Linked DNA regions of Caenorhabditis elegans. The protein of the gene in region 1 purifies or fractionates together with the protein of each later gene. This does not show direct contact. Each region holds a gene or a part of one and is shown in the gene's direction. Other genes may lie near its edges.

Evidence for each region. Proteins that work in one complex are often made in the same cells at the same time.
Region 2: the proteins of D1086.1 (region 1) and F01F1.11 fractionate together in Caenorhabditis elegans (co-fractionation; one large-scale study listed by BioGRID). This does not show direct contact.

The regions. Positions count from the first base shown.
Region 1 is NC_003283.11:14,097,259-14,103,167, forward strand, and holds D1086.1 (T20D4.11-like domain-containing protein), read left to right. Parts: upstream 1-1,599; 5' UTR 1,600-1,651; coding exon 1,652-1,987; intron 1,988-2,727; coding exon 2,728-2,787; intron 2,788-2,834; coding exon 2,835-2,939; intron 2,940-2,986; coding exon 2,987-3,031; 3' UTR 3,032-3,433; downstream 3,434-5,909. Other genes in the region: D1086.2 (T20D4.11-like domain-containing protein), read right to left, coding at 1-43, 459-737, 1,246-1,371; D1086.12 (DUF19 domain-containing protein), read left to right, coding at 4,022-4,117, 4,433-4,603, 4,652-4,747, 5,194-5,388.
Region 2 is NC_003281.10:5,868,106-5,874,467, reverse strand, and holds F01F1.11 (PAP-associated domain-containing protein), read left to right. Parts: upstream 1-2,590; 5' UTR 2,591-2,623; coding exon 2,624-2,642; intron 2,643-2,694; coding exon 2,695-2,877; intron 2,878-2,924; coding exon 2,925-3,160; intron 3,161-3,211; coding exon 3,212-3,376; intron 3,377-3,424; coding exon 3,425-3,632; intron 3,633-3,924; coding exon 3,925-4,108; intron 4,109-4,151; coding exon 4,152-4,322; intron 4,323-4,652; coding exon 4,653-4,704; 3' UTR 4,705-4,783; downstream 4,784-6,362. Other genes in the region: F01F1.3 (MIF4G domain-containing protein), read right to left, coding at 1-24, 68-214, 264-378, 899-1,026, 1,075-1,202, 1,344-1,413; F01F1.15 (DUF3456 domain-containing protein), read left to right, coding at 4,940-5,021, 5,069-5,268, 5,313-5,411, 5,543-5,743; eng-1 (mannosyl-glycoprotein endo-beta-N-acetylglucosaminidase), read left to right, coding at 5,969-6,066, 6,361-6,362.

The DNA.
Region 1 (5,909 bases):
ATTTCAGATTTGTGTCGAAAAGACGTTTAAGCTCACGTGTGTCCTGAAAAATGTATGACTGAGTTTTTTAAAAAAATTTAAGAGTGATTCAGATTAATCAAACTCGATAGTTCTAGCCGTGATTTCACAATTTCAAGTGGACGTTATTTGAAACATCAGGATATCATCAAAACATTTACCCTGACCTCGAGAGGACAGGGTTTTCAAAAATAGTTCACTGGGTCTTTTGTAAGGCCCTGAGAGTGTTATATCATATGCTGGAGTAGGATATGTGAATAGGAGACATTCTCTGAGTGTCCGTACACTTGACGGGTTCCGCCTATTGCTATTTGGTGTGCAAGGTGGCCAAACGCAATCAATATGCCTATAATGTCAATTGAAAGAAAACAACGTAGAAATGTGGATTGTATGCAAAGTATGAACCACTCATAACTATTTCCCAAGTTGCTCAAACTTACTTTTGATTTCAAATATGTTTTCACACAACGATTAGCGACTTTGTCAGCATTAAGTTTTCTCTGAATACAGTATGACAGTGGTGTTCCAACAAGATCCAACTCATAGCATTGCTTGATAACATTCCGATTCTTATCTCTTAATTTCTTGCAAGTGATAACATTTAGGTCCCTTTCAATGGTTTCACATCCCTGGACAAACATAAAGTTATCCTCATCTTCTCCTCTCAACATTTCAAACGAGTTTTTTTCGTCCAGCACACTTTGAAGAGCTTCGGAAAACTGAAATTGGAGATGCATTTGATTGGCTTCACAACAGTTGTTGGTTTTGAGTTACCTGTGTAAAACATTTGTTTTTAAACTCTTTCAAAACTCAAAACTCAAACTGAAAAAATAGATTCGGTCAAATATGTGCTGCGATGAAATCTCGAAGGAAAAAAAATAAACATATTTTTCCTGAAAATAAAAATAGACTTCTTCAAACCACCTCACGTTAATCTCAGTTTCTCAAAAAATTACCTTAAAAATATTAAAATCGACTTTTTTCTGTTTTAAAATGATCCAATAAATCTTAAACTAAATGTTTTAGGGATTATTTATCTAGAAAGTTTTTTAATAGGTGGCCGTTAGAAATTTAAAAAAAAAACTTAAAAAAATTCTTCGGCTGTTGGAAACGGCGGTAAAAGAGATTTTCAGATAAATTGAGCTAACATGGTTTGCCAATTGCACAATTTTTGAGACAAAGACATTTTTGTCAGGCTCTAGTCCCTTTTTGTCAGTTGTAACTCACATCAGTCAGATGTCTATCAATAAGATGATCCATTGTTGAACACTCTTCTTGAACATGATATGGGGCTCCAAGAACGCCAAAAAACACGAAAATCTCGAATATCAAGAGCTGAAATATGAGCTGCATAACTGAGTCGAGTGTTTTCAAAAATAGTTTTGAAAATTTGAAAACATTTTGAGAAAAGGTGGGGGAGTTGGGTCATTTCACATGACAAAAGATGACAGCTGACAAAATAATATTAGAACAAAGTTTTGTTGTTTGTTTCTCGGAAAAATATTGAGAGAAGAAATTGAGAACAGTTGTACCTGAAAAAAAAAGAAAAAAGAAATGACAAAAAAAGAGGGAAACAACAACAAAACAGCGAAGGAAGAAGAGACAATTATTTTCACTTTCAATTTTCGGAAAGATGAATCTTCTTATATTTTTGACTATTCTCCCATTTTTGCTCTTTCTATCAAAAGCTGAAAATTCTCCACTTGATTGCTCAAAAGATGATCTTCAACTTACTGTAACATGTCGTCCAAAACTTGCAAAACTCACAGATGAAATGAAGAAGAATCCATTGAATTCTGGTTTTCCATCTGTTGAAACATTGAATAAAATGTCAGGATATTGCAAGGAAGCCATGAGTTGTGTTAGTCCAGCCAAGTGTCCGGCAATCACTGAAAAAATGAGCAAATTTGCCACAATGTGCAAGACCATCGACTTCATGTCTGGACCGTATGCTCAATGTGCAGCAAAGGTGCGCTAGAATTTACAGAAATTGCAATTTAAAAATAAAGTAGCTCTACTCCGTAAAATATCTCAAAAATTTAATTTGTTTGATTTTTTCAACCCTTTTTCAGTTTTTTGAAATGCCAAGTTACTACTCAACATTCCCGTCCCATTTTAGAGTATTTTCACAACATTTATTATTGTGCTAGTCTGCAGAAAGAAAGCATTTCATAAGTCAAAATTTCCAAAGTTCGATAAACCTGTTTTCAAAATTTAACTCAAGTAAACATTTATTTCAAATTTTAGGCAAACTGGACGTCGCTAGATTTTCGAAACATACCACAAAAAATCTCGATTTTTCTATAAATCATTTTTAGAATAACTAAGTGACAGAATCATATTAAACCGGGTTCAATAATTATTAGTTTTTTAAAATGTATATTTTTGTCATAACTATTCGAGGTAGCTACCTCATTTGTGTTAAAAACTGGAATATTTCGTAGAATTTTGAAAAAATTTTGCCTTATTCGATACAAAATTAAATAATTATTCAAAAAAAAACCTCTTGGAAATGTCAAATTGAAAAGTTAAAATTTAGTAAGAGTTAAAGAAAAACCAGTAACTTCATTGAACTCTACATTTGATTTTCGACTAAAAATTGTTCTGTAGTTTTAAATGTTCAATAGTTTCAAAAAAGTCATGTACAACTATTTAAAAATAAATTAAATTACTGAAATTTCAGCCACTTGATAATTTTATTCATTTCAGCTGAAAGCAAGCAACGACAAAACAGAGTGTGTTCAATGGTATTTCAGTGACAAATCAAGAGTAAGATATTCCAGCTTTTACTGTGTTATAAAATTAAACAAATTCAGATGTCAACCGATCAAAAATGTGCTCAATTCAAAGCTAAAAAGCAATGTATTGAAAAAGATTTTGGAAAGGCGTGTGGAGATTCCACGTTGAAAAGTTTCCGCGAGGTAGTTTTAGTGTGGATTTTTGAAAATTGAAAAATGAATAAATTTAGAATATCAACTACGTCTCAAAGTTTGCTGGATGCCCTGTTCACTGATAATTAATTGTGTCTGAAAATTTTTACTAAATGCATTATGTATTGCATTTCCAGATTCTTGTTATCTCTTAGAGTCGCATTTTTCAATACTCGTGTTCTTTTTGCACATGTGTGAATAGGTATTTAAAACCGCAAACCATCTGCAAATGTAGGAATCAGGCGTGGAAACTCTTGAAGCTTGGTTTCTTTGAATGCTTGAAAATGTTCGTAGATTTTCTTTAAAATCCAATTCAAGTTATTCTTGAAACAACAGGTTTCGGAAAATATTATTTATTTTTAAGAAGTAGGCAAGCAAAAGAAAAACTTACTCAATACGGAAAGCTTTCCAATTATTCAAGCGTATATGTATACATATATATTTTCTTGATATTTATACAGATTGATAAAAAATAATTTTCCAAAAATTTGCCTGAAAGCTTGAAAAGCTTGATCAAACAAGGGGTGATTGATGCTTGATGCTAGAAAATCTGATCTTGTGCTCGATTTTCACCCCTGGTCGGAATATTATTTTTACTGAAAACAATGTCTTGGCAAATATTGGGAGTCTTGGACATAGAACGAGGAAGTTGAACTCGAGCAACTGCAAAGTCTGAATCGGATTGTTCTTTGTGCGAAAACAATTAGTGCCAAAGTGCTATTTTTCCATCAAAATTGACCAACACTAACCGCTCAAAAATATTCCCTTGCTCCTTCTTCTCCACTACCAATGTTTCATTTCTTCCCAGAACTGCCCAACCTTTGTGTAAAACTCTAAGGAACTCTGCTCCGAAAAGTTGTTTGCCTACACTGTAACAGCAGCAATATGTCCCTTGGCCTCCAGTGTTGTAATAAGTTCTTTTTTGAAAACATCCGCGGACCCTTGTGCTCTGCGGTCTCTCGGCAGAAAAAAAAGATGGACACAAGGGCTGATGTGTTGAGCAACTGTTCCCCAAACCAGAGCTTCTCCAACTTTTCCTAACCAATCACTCTTGTCAAACTTTTGTTGCAAGAATGATCGTCTTGTTCCTAACGTTCCTCACATTCTTCACATATACCATTGAATGTATTCCAAATGTTACGGTCAATGAATTTTCTGCCGACCTCCAGGTGAGAGACTCTTCTAGAAGAAATTATATTTTTTCCTTATTCTTTTTTAAAACTTGTCCCATTTTTAAATAAAAACGGCTTGTAAAAAACATTATTTAAAAACACAAGGTAATTCAAATTGTATATAACCTGAGAGCCCAAATTTGTAGATAAATTTGAGATTTACCATAACTGAAAATTTTCAAAATTTAAAATTTAATAAGAAGTTTCACTTTGATATTTATTTATCTTTACAATATTTGAATGTACAAAATTGCAACTGGAATAACTTCCAAGTTTTCAGATGAGCAAATACATTAAGCTTTTATTCTTCAGAAAGAAGGTCGTTCGGATCCTTACCTAATGTGCACAATGATTTCACAAACCCTCGGCAACTGGAAATTGTTTTTCGAAGCTCATCATTGGGGCTCACCGGAAACTTTGAACCTTACTTCAGAAGAATTCAATCAAATTAATAATATATGCGAACGTGAAGCTGTGGGTTTGGTATTTGGATACTTTCACCGCAAAAAAAAATAATCAAAAATATTACAGATTTCTAGAAGTTGCTTTTTGCCAAGACTAATGCTCAAGATTGTTTGCAAAAAAGTTGATGTACTCCAGAGTGAATTTGGAAAATGCATGAAGGATGTGAGTTTTTTACTATTTAACATTTACCTTCATTTTGATAACTATTAAACTTCAAAAGATATAGAAATCATTTTAAATTCAATTTACAAAATAATATTAGAAACATGAGATTTAAAAATTAATATATCAGAAACTTTTAGAAGTTTTAGTTACTTAAAATAAACTAGCCGTGTAAATTATTTATCCAGTTAAAAATATTTTCTTTGATTGCTTGATAAATTTGTAGCGTAGGTGTTTGTGTAAGAACGACGTAGGTGTAGGTGAAAACAATCAGGTAGGCAATTTTAAGGTATAACTGAAACCATGAATGCTGGAAAAAGTTCAATATTTTTGATTAATAATTATTTTTGAACAATCCGAAAAATGTAAATAATTTGACCATAGGTATTTAAATTTTCAACAATTTTGAAAAATATTATCACTTTCTCACAGTTGGTATGTTTCAGGTACAAACAATGAAAATCGAATCGGAGATTTTCGAATCATTTGCAAAGGATTTTAGTTTTGACGGAATAAGTAAAAAATGCAGATTGCTTCAAGACCCAAAGATGCCGACAGACATTGGCGAGACATGCGGTGAAGAGGCTCAATTGTCATTCACAAAGAAACGAAGATTACTCTATTATATTTTTGATTGCTGAGTTTGAAACTCTACTTTTTTTTAAATTTGTTCAAAACAACAAGTACAACTCCAAAATTACATGTAGCTGGTAGAGCCAGAATATCAACAAAAAAAGAAAATTTGATTGTATATAATGCAAATTTTCACAGTATTTGAATGTGTTCGAATATAAATAAAAATTAATTCAGATGAGTTCAATGAACAAGAAATCAAGAAACTTTCATCTTTTTAAACTTTACTTTTTTAGAATTACATTTTTGGAAGCACGATGCTACCTACTCCGTCTAATCTCTCTGATGGAATTGTCTCCAAATAGAAATTTCAGATTAATCAGTGTGTAGCACTAATTTATAGTAAATATCATTTTCATCGAAATGATCTAGAGTAATTTTTGAACTGTTTACTGTCTTTGAAAATTGATAGGTTTTAATCTTGTTTTCAAATATGTGGGCAATGCAGAGAATGCAAAAAAACTTGTTCTCATTCGTATTTTCTTGAAACTACTGAAAATTACCAGTTTTCATTTATAAATTATAACGA
Region 2 (6,362 bases), on another chromosome or scaffold:
TCCAAATGCCCAAAGATCATACACCTAAAATCAAATAATCAATTGATCATTCTCTGATCTTCCTCACATGAATGAATATTTGACGGACATGTTTAGTGACAATTGGATCTTCACTGATAAGTTTATGACGCAATTTTACAATGATTCGTTCGACGAGATATGAATTCAAATCGTGAAGAACGCGACCATTCTCGCTGAGAAGTATCCCGGCTGTCTGAAATTAAAAAATTCTAGATTTTTCAGAAAAATGTTTCTGTGGAAACCTCTAGATCTTCGGTATCTGGAGCATCATCAATAAGTGCATCCAAAGATGAGAACATTGGTTTTATGAAGCATTTTGACACACATTCGTCCATTTTCACATATACTGGATACATTCTGAACGGATATTTCAATATGAATTCATCGAATTTCAACTACTAATTTTACTGTTGGAAAATTCCAGTTCTCGCGTTTTTTTTCTATATTCTTTGCAAGCAAATACTTACGATTCATGTGAGAAAAATAAGGTCCCTGGTTTCGCCACGACAAGCTTATGTTAACTAAAAAGAGGTGTGCGCCTTTAAAGAGTACTGTAGTTTCAAAATCTTAAATAGTTTTCCTCACGATTTGTTAAAATGTATTTATGTATTTCTATTTTTTTTATTTTGAGTTTTTAATAAATACACATATTTTTTTCGGGAAACTATGAAAAATCAATAAAAATTCATCAGAGCTCTGCAGTGTTGAGTTTTTGAAACTAAAGTACTCTTTAAAGGCACACACCCTTTCTCATTCAACAATACCTCAACATGATATATCATATGATATCAAAATTGCGTGTCTGACTACAAGAAACATTCGAAAATTGGAATAAAACGATAGTTTCTTTCGAAAAAAAAAATTGGAAATTGCTTACGAAAAAAGTGTCTTCACACAATTCCTGAACATAAGTCGAGAATCGTTTCGAACTGAAAGCCGGTTACGGTAGTCGTTGAGTAGTAGAGCCAACACATTTGAGGATAATGAAATGTCTTTTGGATCGGACTGGAATTTTAATTTGTGGTTTTTGAGGTTACCGTAGTACAGAACTACCTTATGGATGTGCATTAGTATATTTGCAGCAACTGGTCCAAAGCGTCCATCCGAAAGCCATCGGAGCCTCATGTGTTCGGCGAGAACTTCTGTAGAATGTTGACCAGCAAGCATACTGTAGGCTTGCACTGAAACTCGAATTTTTAAAATTGTGGGTCCCGCGACGATCCACATCACTTTTCACTAAATAACGGGATCAAGGCGTGAGCAGGCACATTTGCCTGATTCTACATACAAAGAACGATTTCGAATTTTCTTAAATAGCTCACCTGGAATTGGTCCTTGTTGTGTGAGAGTTGCAAGAGATGCAAATAGGCTCCGTAGTTTATCATCGTTCATTTCGTGATTATTGATTTAAAAAAAATGTCTGAAAATTTTCAATTTCTGAAATTTCCGATTAACTTAATAATTCTCAAATATTGCCGAGTTAGCCAATTTTTTTTAATTGACGATCAGGGTTCTAGAGCAAGCGAAATATTTCAGCTACAGTACCCGCGAGTACTGTAGAATTTCATTCTTCTTACAGAAAGTTGTTTCCTATTTGACAGTTTTCATATTTCCTGATATATAATAAGACTTCTCAGTAATTTAAGTTTTTCTAACAAGTTTTCAAAAAATTGTGGGAACTGGTTGAATACTTACAGATACTGTATACTAAAATTTTTAGCTCGTGTCAGGACCCAAAAAACTAATTTTTTCTACTAAAAATTGTACAAAATAACCGGGTCAAATCGAAAGACGAATGGCTCGAGCTGAATGACGCAAGAGATTTGAAAATGAGGTGAAAAGTGTCACCAGAGACAATTGGGTGCTTCATGCTCAACTTTCAAGATTTTTTATCTCTTTCGAAAATGCATGATGGCAAAGTTCAGAAGGCAGAGCAAGCAGCATCACACACTCAAAAAATGAAAAACAGAGGAAAAGTGACGGCTGTTTCGAATTACACAACACATGTGGCGAACAGAGAGCTCTGGAGAGCATAGAAGAGGCTCAAAACACATGAACATAGCAATATAATAGACAATTAAAATATTGGAATTTTCATGAATTATATACATATGTATTTTTCAGATGGGTCTCGGCGCGCAAAAGTTTATGGTAGACTTTTTAGAATTTTCACGTCTGCTTTTTTGTTCATTTGCCTTGCGTTTTTCAATGATATTAATTGTTTTTTAGCGAATCATGTCATATTCTTTTCATTTTTCTATCCTAGAGTTTGTAAATATGTTGTTTTATAAAAACACCAACGCTGTTTTCGGTTCATGCATACTTGCATAGGACAAAAATTGCTTGATTGTTTATAAACATAATTATTTTTATTAGCTTTCTCGTGTGGAAATGTGAAACTTCAAGAAAATTCTATTTTGCGGCTGGAAAGGGAGGAAAATTTTTGTGCGGCAAATTAAATTCAAATTTAGCGCGCAAAAAGGTGTTGGACTTTTCTCGGCCGTGCACTCCTCTCGGACAACGTTTCTCTGGTCTCTCTCGGTTTGTCTCTATTCTCTATTTTCCTTTTATTATTTTTTTTCAAGAAATTTACCACAAAAATATGAATAACTCAAATAGAAGTAAGTTTAAAAATAATAATTTTATTCAAAAATTAAAAAATGTTCTTTATAGTAATTCCGTTTGCTTTCAAAAGCTCTGAACACGGCTCATACGAAGATGAGATGATGGAAATGGAAGACGTAGTCGATGTAGAGGACTATATGGGCGGAGAAAAATATGATTCTTATAATGATGCAAAAGAAGATATTAAAGATTTTAAGACGACTCAAAGAATGAAAAAAATCCATCGAATGGGTAAAAAAATTATCAATAAAATATTAAAAGTTCAATTATTGTTTCAGAAAAAATTGAGCAAAACATTGCCTCAGAGAAAATCGATATAATCGAGCTTGGAACACGTGTGATGGTGTCGACATCGGATAAAACGCTCAATGAAGCTTCATTGGAGAGAACCATCCGTTGCGGAATATCTGAAGCCACATTTCTCGGAGATATTTCTATGGAATCGCTGGTAGAAGGTATGGTGAATCCATCGGCGGCTGATGGAAGGTTTGCAATGCTTGGAACGTCTATTATGGTCAGAATTCTGATAGCCCGGAATTCAAAATTCCATTTTTTGATTTTTCAGCTAAATGCGCTAAAGTCAAACATTAAAGACCTGAGAGGAACAATTGTAGGACAGACGACCAACACAAATTCAGAGTCAAAATTCGATAAAATCGATTTAAGTCTAATGAATCTCTCGCATTGCCAACAAACTTCTTACAATATTCGAGCAACAGGTGTATTCTCTGTGAGTTTTTTTTTGTTTCAGCTTCTATGAAAAAATGCCAAATTTTAGAATGCCGATCTTCAATATGTGTTCAGTTTGCTGACGTTCCGCAGAAACGCAAAACTTCTCAACAAAACCAAGCAGTTTATAAAAGCATATTTTTGTGTTGCGTGCCGTCCGAGATGCATGATCTGGAGATATACTTTAAGAAGAGCTGGAAATAGTCAAAGAAGAGCCATTCTTAACTTACCATCCGCCATTGTTTCAACTATTACTCGTAAGTTTTAAATAAAAAAAGAGAATCCATGGGCTTTTTCCAATATTTGGAAACAATTTTCGTTTTTTCAAAAAATAGTTTTAAATGTTGACCTTTTTTCCTTTTTAGATGGCAATTATATGTTTTTCCTTAATAATATTGATTGATAACAGTATAAGCCTAATTTGATTTAAACAAAACATTTTTTTGTTGTAAAATTGCTAAACTTTTTTTTTGATTTTCTCAGAAAAAAAATCCATAAAAAATTTCAATGATACCCTTGCCAATAATCAATTTTTATTGTTTTTTCCAGAGTTTCTGCTCGATTTGACAGGAATTAGCGATGCAAACATCCCATACGATCAGCTCGATCCAATGACACCACTATCAATTTCACTTGGAGAAGATGAATCAATGCGTGTTCAACGATATGAAGAAGCTTGTCGATTGAAGGATCCATTGACGAGATTCTTTCGAGATGCAATTACAGATTGCTTGTAAGTGCCTGAATCCTTGAAAATACATTGAATTAAATTTCAGAAATGAGCTCCGAGAGATGCCGTTTTGCCTGAACACGGGCATTCTGTTGAGCCCGTTGCGTGGTCGAGAACAAGGAACTTCTTGTGTTACATGGAAAGATTATGAAGGATTTTTGAAAAGAGAACACGATCTGCCTTCCGAAGCGAATATGAAGAAGCGAACGCAGTTTGAGTAAGTTTAAAAAATAATTTCGATTTTAAAATCCTTAAAATTTGCATTCAGTTATAAGTGTAATTTTTTTTTGGAAAAAGCGTAAAATTTGAAAATCAATTATATTTTCAGTTACCGACAGGATAACAGAATTTTTCTCTATTTTCGCTCCCTTTTTTTCGAAAAATACCAAAAATAAAATTTCATTGCTGCTCGCTGTTGCGGAGCGTTCTTTAGTTTTTCACTACAGTACTACTTTTGAAAAAATTGTACGTGACGAGGCCGGGTAACATATCTTTGAGACGAGATTTCAGAGTTCATATCTGAATAGTATTAAAATTAAATTTCCAGACAACGGCTCTGCGACATTATTCCACGTGTACGTCGACCGGTTCCCAATTGAAAAAATGTTTAACTTATCAATTTTCGATCTCTTGAATACGTTGTTTCCAATCAACTTTAATGAATAATATTCATGTTTTATTCGTGAAGAAAAGTACCATTTACACAAACACTGGATACCTATCCAAACACCGTTCTTTTTCTTTTCTTTCTGCCACTCTCCCAATCATTGTTTGCTCTCTCTCTCTCTCCGCTTCACTTGGTCATTATCGACGCTTTTTAACCATTTATTCAGAATGCATTTTGTTTCTACACTGGTTTGTCTCATATCACTGTCGGGTATTCAATCTGCATCGGTTTCTTCATTAGAGTGTGGAGGTTGATAGATTTTTCTAAAATATATTTTTAAATATTGAAAATTTCAGCCTGCTCCCTCCTCGTAACCCATTTCGAGCTGAAAATCGCCGCAGTCGACCCGAAAAAGAAAATCGAAGTTGGAAGTTTCCGAGTTTCACCAACTGGAGATCAAAAAGGGCTCAAGGAAATCGGCTATGCTCGTTCAGAATCTCATTTGACAGAAATCATTGAGCACGCTTGTGATGATGCGAAACACTATAAACTTGTGGTAAGAACCATAAATTGTATAGATTTTTACAAATTTCTCTTCAGGTGAATACAATTACTGGAAAATCAGTCTACGTTCACAACGACGCCACACATTTGAAAGGAGATGAGTCTCCCAAAATGAGATATAATCTTCAAAACGCTGTAAGTTCAAGCACGGGATTCCAAACTCTAGTTATTATTAGAAAACAATCCCTAATGAGAATTAAGAACTTTTTCAGTTTTTTGCAGAAAACTTCAGTCTTGATTTTTTAATTTAAATTTCTAAATTTTAGTGCAACGACTTCATTGACTCTCACGAAGATGAGCTTCTTGGTTTCCTGAAGACCGCCCATCAGGATCCCGTCAAACAGTTCTGCCAAGGAGAAATGGGTGCTTGCACTGCTGTCGATGTGGCACCTCTACCTGCTGCTCCAGAAGAACCAATGGATCTTTCTGATATTCCAGATGATGAAATTGACAGAAAAGAACTTTAAATTAAATTTTCCTTTTTTAAATTAGTAATTTATGAATTTCAACTCGTTTGCGGGATCTGGAAATTGTGCTATATCGTTATCTGTTTGAATTTTAATTTATATGTGATTTGTTTTGTGATATAAACTTCAAGTTTTTCCTTTCGTGAAATGCTAAGGGTAAAGTTGAAATCAATTGAAATATCGCAGAGCCTCTTGATCTTGACTTACAATTCTATTTATAATTAGATGACGATTTCTCCAATTGACACACTCGAAGAGCTCTGGAGTTGGAAATCACGAGAAGATGTTGGCGAGCAATACAGTGAGCAACTGGTTAACTTTAAGTAATTTTTATGAAATTTCAGAAAGAAAATTAATTTTCTACCTGGCAATAAGAATAGTGTTAAATATTTTTAGCCCGAATGCGAAAAAAATGGTTTTGGCGCGAGCCAATTTTTTCAGCTACAGTACCCAGTAGTATGGTAGACTTACATAATATTTGGTTTTTACTTAGTTTTAAACTTTTTTTGATAACTTTATTGATAAACAATAGTCACAGTCACAGTCACAGGACAAAAGCTTCGATCGTGCTGAGACCTAAAATCATGGATTTTCCCTACTATATGGCAAAATTTCAGAC